Linked DNA regions of Drosophila melanogaster. The protein of the gene in region 1 interacts with the protein of each later gene in a pairwise test. Each region holds a gene or a part of one and is shown on either strand. Other genes may lie near its edges. The genes, in order: mRpL19 and Hsp26.

Evidence for each region.
Region 2: the proteins of mRpL19 (region 1) and Hsp26 interact in a two-hybrid assay, tested with the Drosophila melanogaster proteins (one large-scale study listed by BioGRID).

The regions. Positions count from the first base shown.
Region 1 is NT_033777.3:8,671,986-8,675,707, forward strand, and holds mRpL19 (mitochondrial ribosomal protein L19), read left to right. Parts: upstream 1-2,123; 5' UTR 2,124-2,201; coding exon 2,202-2,265; intron 2,266-2,317; coding exon 2,318-3,174; 3' UTR 3,175-3,211; downstream 3,212-3,722. Other genes in the region: CG8036 (uncharacterized protein), read left to right, coding at 1-1,324, 1,393-1,570; Unc50 RNA binding protein, read right to left, coding at 3,396-3,532, 3,588-3,722.
Region 2 is NT_037436.4:9,375,660-9,379,428, forward strand, and holds Hsp26 (heat shock protein 26), read right to left. Parts: upstream 1,769-3,769; 5' UTR 1,530-1,768; coding exon 903-1,529; 3' UTR 759-902; downstream 1-758. Other genes in the region: CG4461 (uncharacterized protein), read left to right, coding at 1-427; Hsp67Ba (heat shock gene 67Ba), read right to left, coding at 2,443-3,769.

The DNA.
Region 1 (3,722 bases):
GTGTCGCCGTCGGCGCTGGCATGGCCTATGTGGGCAAGAACTTCGACAAGGCCGACTACCGCACCTACGTGGTGGTGGGTGATGGTGAGTCCGCCGAGGGTTCCATCTGGGAGTCGCTGCACTTTGCCGGCCACTATAAACTGGACAACCTTTGCGTGATCTTTGATGTGAACCGCTTGGGCCAGTCGGAGGCCACCTCCCTGCAGCATAAGCTGGATGTTTACCGTGATCGTCTGGAGGCCTTCGGCTTTAATGCCGTCGTTGTCGATGGTCATGATGTCGAGGAATTGAGCAAGGCTTTCCATTGTGCTGCAATCACCAAGAACAAGCCCACCGCCATCATTGCAAAGACGTTCAAGGGCAGGGACTTCCCCAACATCGAGGATTTGGACAACTGGCACGGCAAGCCACTGGGCGACAAGGCCGCCGAAGTGGTGAAGCATCTGGAGGGACTGATTGTCAACAAGAACGTCAAGCTGACCCCTAAGCCGGTGCCCAAGACTGGTGCTGCTCCCGACGTGGACATCAACAACATTAAGTTGAGCTCGCCACCCGCCTACAAGCTGGGTGATTCCATTGCCACCCGTTTGGCCTATGGAACAGCTCTGGCCAAGATTGGCCAGAACAACCTGCGTGTTGTTGCCCTAGACGGAGACACCAAGAACTCAACTTTCTCCGACAAGCTGAAGAACCTCGACCCGCAGCGCTACATTGAGTGCTTCATCGCTGAGCAGAATCTTGTGGGAGTGGCCGTTGGAGCCGCCTGCCGTCGCCGCACTGTGGCCTTTGTGTCCACCTTTGCCACCTTCTTCACCCGTGCCTTCGATCAGATCCGTATGGGCGCCATCTCGCAGACGAACGTTAACTTTGTGGGCTCCCACTGCGGCTGCAGTATCGGTGAGGATGGTCCTTCGCAGATGGGTCTGGAGGACATTGCCATGTTCCGCACCATTCCGGGCAGCACCATCTTCTATCCCTCCGATGCAGTGAGCACGGAGCGTGCCGTCGAACTGGCCGCCAACACCAAGGGTGTCTGCTTCATCCGTACGTCCCGTCCCAACACCTGTGTGATCTACGACAACGAGGAACCCTTCACCATTGGCCGCGGCAAGGTGGTGCGCCAAAAGAGCTCCGACGAGGTGCTTCTGATCGGAGCTGGAATCACTTTGTACGAGTGCCTGGCTGCCGCCGATCAGCTGGAGAAGAACTGCATCACCGTCCGTGTGATCGATCCGTTCACCGTGAAGCCATTGGACGCCGAGCTGATCATCGAGCACGGCAAGCAGTGCGGAGGACGCGTAGTCGTCGTGGAGGATCACTACCAGTAAGTGTTCTTTGTAGTCTTTTTATTTGCCTCCTTTGCTAACTTGAAATTTACTTAATTTCTTATAGGCAAGGAGGCCTGGGTGAAGCTGTGCTGAGTGCCCTGGCTGGCGAGCGCAACTTCGTTGTCAAGCACTTGTACGTGCCCACCGTGCCACGTTCGGGTCCTCCGTCGGTACTCATCGATATGTTCGGCATCTCCGCACGTCACGTCGTCAACGCCGTTAACGAGATCCTCAAGGATTAGGGGACCAGTCGTGATCTGGCTACATTCATTTACCGCCTACAGGAATTCCCCCAGTTACTACTTACTTCCAATATTACCATTCCCTCTAAGATTGTTAATTGCTTCATTGATTTGAACCTTACATCATGGAAATAAAATATCTTTAATAAAAATAGTTAAGCCGAACTATATACCTTATTTACATATTATATTACTTATTTACTATATTACTTATTACATGTTAAGCATGCCTTTAAAATGGCTGGACGATTTCATTGCGTTTGCCTTTGGTTTGCTTTAGACTTGCTTTGGTTTGTTTTTAGTTTGCTGTGGTTTTGCTTTGGTTTATCTCTGGATTTGCTATGCGCTTGATGTTGATTTGACATAGATACTGAAATAAAGATAAGATGAGAAAATGAATAAAATTATAAATTTTTTAAATTTAAGCATACTGCATACTTTTTTAATTTACAAATTTTTAATATTTTTCTAAAAAAAATCGGAGCTTAAAACTAACAAGTTGGCAGTACCCTTCCAATTATAAAGGGTTATCGATAACTCTGCTGTAGCTATCGGTGCTGCCAGCTGATTATAGTGCGGCATGATTATCTAAACATCAATTTGTTTCAGCCGATCCCGAAAACTATTCAAAATGAACTTAAGCACAAGAGTTATGCTGAATAGGTTGACACAGCAGTGTGTCTACAAGCGGATTGGTAAGGAGAGACGTTTTATCTTGTGCCACACATTCAGGAAACGTATTTTCAGTGACCTTCTCCACCAAAACTGCGGAACATGTAATTGAAAATCAGGAGGAACAGAAGAAAGAGGCTCCGCCAACCACGCCGACTTCACCGGTGAACCGGAAGACAATCATTCCGGCCAATTATCGGTTTGTTTACCCAGAATTCCTGCCCGATCCGAAGGTGGAGTGGCGCAACCTCGTGCGCGAGAAGCTGGAGCGACTGGACATGCTGGATCGCCGCAAACAGATCGACCTGCCCGAGTTCTACGTTGGATCTGTGCTTGCGGTGACAAGTTCGGATCCCCATGCCGCTGGCAAAACCAGTCGATTTGTGGGTATCTGTATCAATAGGGATCGCTGTGGACTGCGCGCCCGTTTCATTCTTCGCAACGTGATTGATCACCAGGGAATGGAGGTGGTCTACGAGCTGTATGATCCTACCATCCTAAAGATCGAGGTGTTGCGGCTAGAGAAGCGACTGGATGACAGTCTTTTCTACCTGCGGGACGCTCTTCCGGAGTACAGTACTTTTGATGAGAACATGGAGGCCGAGCCGCTCGAGGAGGGTGCTCCGGTGCCGGTGAACGACATTAAGGTGGTGCTCCGTCCGCGTCCATGGCTGGAGCGCTGGGAACGACAGAATCTGCGTGGTGTGGCCAACATCGATGAGTATCTAAAAGACAAGCATCGCCTGTCGGCGGCCAAGGTGCAGAAACCATGGGAGAAGTACGACATGATGAAGGACTACCGCAGCTCGATTCCCGAGGAGGAGCAGACGGAGATCTTCGCCGAGGTGCACACGGAACTGCACGCCCTGGAGCTGCAGCGAAAACGCAACAAGCGCAAGCGCACTTTCATTAAGCCCAAGCAGCTGGCGTAATTGCATTTGTTGTTCATTTTTTAGAATAAAAATATCGAAAAAATGTTGTTTTATAGTTTTCCACGATTTTACTTTATAAAGATGGTTTTATCATCGAAAAAATGACTGAGGCTGCAATAATATGGTTTGGATAACGCTAAATTAATTAGTTTATTAGTCATAATTGTAGTATAGTGGCTTAGCAACTAAACGCAGAATAATTTACAACGCACATTGCATTACTAATATACGCGATACTTGTAGAAATTGACAAAGGATATCGTTGCGTTCCAACCAATAATTGTGACGACCAGAAACAGTAGAAAGATGATGGGCAGGGCGATGAGAATGATGCGGGTGTTTTTCAGATGGGGAATGCCTGCAGGAGGAAAGCTTTTTAATTCGAGAACTTGATGATGCATTTAATAACTTACAATTGTATCCCAGAAATGTGATGTACACATAATAGCCCATGCCCATCAACCAAAAGGTGTTGCCCAGAAATCGCGAGATGAACCACGTTTGGCTGATCAGCCAGTTGTAGAAGAACAGCTGGATGAAGTGCAGCA
Region 2 (3,769 bases), on another chromosome or scaffold:
GGTGTCGCGTCGAGTGCGCAACCAGTTGATCCAATCGACGCCGTATGAGTGGGCGCATCCAATGAGGTGGGACAACTACTATTCCGGTGAGCGTGTCCATGTGGATGAGAAGGGATTTCGGATTGACATCGATGTGCGACAATTTCATCCCCACGACATTGTGGTCAAAACCAATGACGACTATGTCATCGTCCAGGGAAATCACAATCGTCGCGACGAGGGTTCCAATGGCCTGGTGGAGCGGCACTTTGTGAGGAAGTACCTTCTGCCCCGCGGATACAATGCCAATGAGGTAATCTCGGACATATCCAGCGATGGCATCCTCACCATCAAGGCTCCACCACCGCCGCCAGCCAAGTACTACACGCCCGGAGAGAGATTGGTCCGCGTTCATGAAACCGGAAAGCTGGCCCTGCCCTGGAAATAGTGGACCATGTGTCAAAAATCAGGAAGGCAAACAGTGAATGTGTTTTTACCAAACCCAAATCCCAACCATCGAATGCGCCTAACTCAAGGTGAACTATTTTCGGACACCAAGCAATTGCAGCCGAACATTTAAATTGGATTCAAACATAAATAAAATACAAATTGTACCCGTAGTTGATATAATAAATGCGCAATAAATATTTGGTAGAAACACTGGTGTTTACGAATGGGTCTTCACCTCGTCGCGCCCAATTCAAATCTTCAAATCGATATTTCCAAATATTTGCCTCTTTCAAAAACCAACTTTCATATACAAAAGTCACAACAATTTTAATTTTCCACACCAGGTGAACAAAAGGATTTATTAAATTAATATGAGTATTCTAGTCTTTAGCTCATTACAAATACAATGCAATAAATTAGGAACAATTAAGTAGGGGAATGATGATGGATGATGTTGGATGATGATGGCTCCTTTACTTGTCCTTGCCGTTGGGTGCTCCGTTCTCCTTGCCCTTCACCTCGCTTTCATTTGCCTTAACGTTGAGGTGAGCGGGTCCCACTTGCTGAATTTGAATGATGCGCTCCTTGGACTTGTCCTCGACGGCCTGCGGCTTGGGAATACTGACGGTGAGCACGCCATCCGACGACAGCTGCGAGACCACTTGCTCCGCCTTGTAGCCATCGGGAACCTTGTAGCGGCGCACAAAGTGGCGCATGATGTGACCATGGTCGTCCTGGCGTTCCTCATGCTTGCCCTCGACCAAGATGGAGTCGTCCACCACCTTCACGTTGAGCTCACTGGGCTTGAACTGGGCGACGTCCATGCACACCTGGAATCCATCCTTGCCCACATGGGCGGTTGCCGGCCAGTGAATGTCGTTGCGGTTGGCCATCTCGCGCCGCAAAGCCAAAACCTGGCCGGCGGGCGACGATGGGCATATCGGCGATGCGCAAGGGCATCCGTTGATGGAACGGCGCTGCTGAGTGCCAAGGGGCAGCACGTAGCGGGAATGCGGATGCAATCCCAGTCCAAGCTCGTAGATGGGGCTGCGGGGCTCCTGGAGTTCATCCACAAGCGAAAGCAGAGTAGATAGCGACATTTTTACGTTTCCTTTAGGTTATGTTCCTTTTGCGAGATTGAAATATTTTTTCTTTGGTTAAGTTGAATGAACTTGTTTGACTTGTAAGCAAAGGTTTTTAATCCTTTTTTTTCTCGTTTGAAGTTTTGCTTTTGCGCAAAGTTGCTTTGAGTTGTTCACTGCTCGATTTTTGAATTCGATCTGTGCTCTGTTCGTCAAGCGACGCTGCTTTTATACCCGCTGGAGCTTTTCTAGAAGAGTCCGGAAAGTGACAGAAAAAGGAAAGAGTAGAGAGAGAGAAGAGAAGAGAGAGAACGTGCACAGAGAGAAAAAATTATGAATATAGCTTTGTATCGTTTGATAAACGAGGGATCAAATTAGAAATTTCTTTTATAAAAGTCTAAATTGAATGCTGCTCTAAAAACAAAAAATAAAACTAACTAACCTTTCCCAATAAATGCCATGAGTTTCGAGAAATTTTAAATGTAGTTGTTGTCGTACGCGCAAAAGCAGAGCTAGTGCGCCTGTATGAGTGAGAGAGCCGAAGTTTCTAGAGAGTTGTTGCAATTTTCTAGAAAGAGCGCAAAAGAAACAGCCGGCTAACGGCAAACAAAACAAAACGTCAGTTTTTTTTATTCTGGTTTTCCTCTTTATTAAGTACATTATTTCGTGTTTCTGTCTTTAAGTTTTACTGGAATACTTGTAGTTGTTGTCACATATGTTTTTTAGAAAATCATACATACATATAACGCCAGCAATCTCCCACTATTAGTAATTGAGTGCTTTTCCCGTCAGCTTTCTCGCTTCTTTTTTTTTGTGTGAAATGCAAGAAAAGAAAACACAAGAAACACGTATGGAATAAAACGCACGCCTACCCGTGCAGATTATTATTTGTTCTTAATTACTATTTATGTTCTTTCTTTTAGTTCAGTCTTCACTTGGCCAGTTCCTCGGTTTTGGCTGCAGTGGCTCCATTTTCGCCTTGGTTTTTGGCCAGTAGAATGGCCGCATCTACGGCTGCCAGTTCCTCGCCGCCCTTCTCCTCCACTTTCTCTACTTTATCAACCTTCTCCGCCTGCTCCTCTTTGCTGTCTTCCGTGGAGATTTCCGGTTTCTTGGCCAGCGGCATTTCCACATCCTCGGCTGCTGCGACTGCTCCATTGCCGTTATTCGAGGCAACGGGCACTTCGTTGGCATTTGCATCCTCTGCCTTTTGCTCCTCTTCGATGCTTATAACGGGATTGGGTGTGGGTTCATCCACATTGGCAGTCTCTTCGTTTTTGGCCAACGCCACTTCCATGGACTCTGATTCTGGTTCTGCAACGCCATTGTTGGCACTGGAAGTGGTTCCTGCGGTGGAAGGGGCTTCCACTGCAACAGCAGCGGCAGCAGCAGCCTCATTGGAAATGGGGGGCGAAACAGCCGGCATTTCCATCTCTGTCTCTTCCTGACCGTTGCCGTTGCTCTCGGCGAGAGTGAGCGAGAGCGAAGGAGTGGGTGTGGGTGCAGTCGGATTTAAAGTGGAAGTGGTGGCACTAGCTGCCGCCTGCTGCTCTACCTCTGACGGCTTTGGCGGCTGCGCATCCTTATCCTTCTGCTGCTGCGATATCTGCTGGATGTCTACGATGCGCTCCTGTCGTTCCAGGCTGCCTTTGACGACTGGAAGTGGTGGCGGCGCCTTCACCGTCAGAATGCCGTCCGAGGAGAGGGTCGAGTGCACCTCGTTGGGATCATAGCCCTTGGGCAGGATGTACTTGCGGATGAAGTGGCGCGAGATCACCCCGTGGCCATCCTCCTTCTCGTCGTGCTGACCCTCGACCACGATGCAGTTATCGATGGTCTTGACGGTCAGTTCGTTGGCGGCGAACTGCTTCACATTCATGCTCACCTGGAAGCCGTTCCTATTCACCACGGAGTAGGCGGATTTGCTGGCCGCCGGTTGGCCACTGGTGCTGCCGCTTGCCCCGGACGTGCCCTTATCGCCCAATTCCTTTTCCAGCTCCACCAGCGACTTATTGCAGCAAGCAGTCTTGGCTCCGGCCACACGATTGTACGGATGATGGCGATGCTGCGATGCCGCCGACTGACCCTTGATGGGCACCCACATCATTGCATTCCCACGCCCCAACCCACGACTCAGCTGTGGCAACTGTGAGGTGGCCTCCAGTGGATACAACCCGAATCCGGCCGAATCATCTATATCCATTGCCAGGCTGCGATTGAAATCGTGCAGCTCCTCGGCCAAATCTAGTATGAACGGT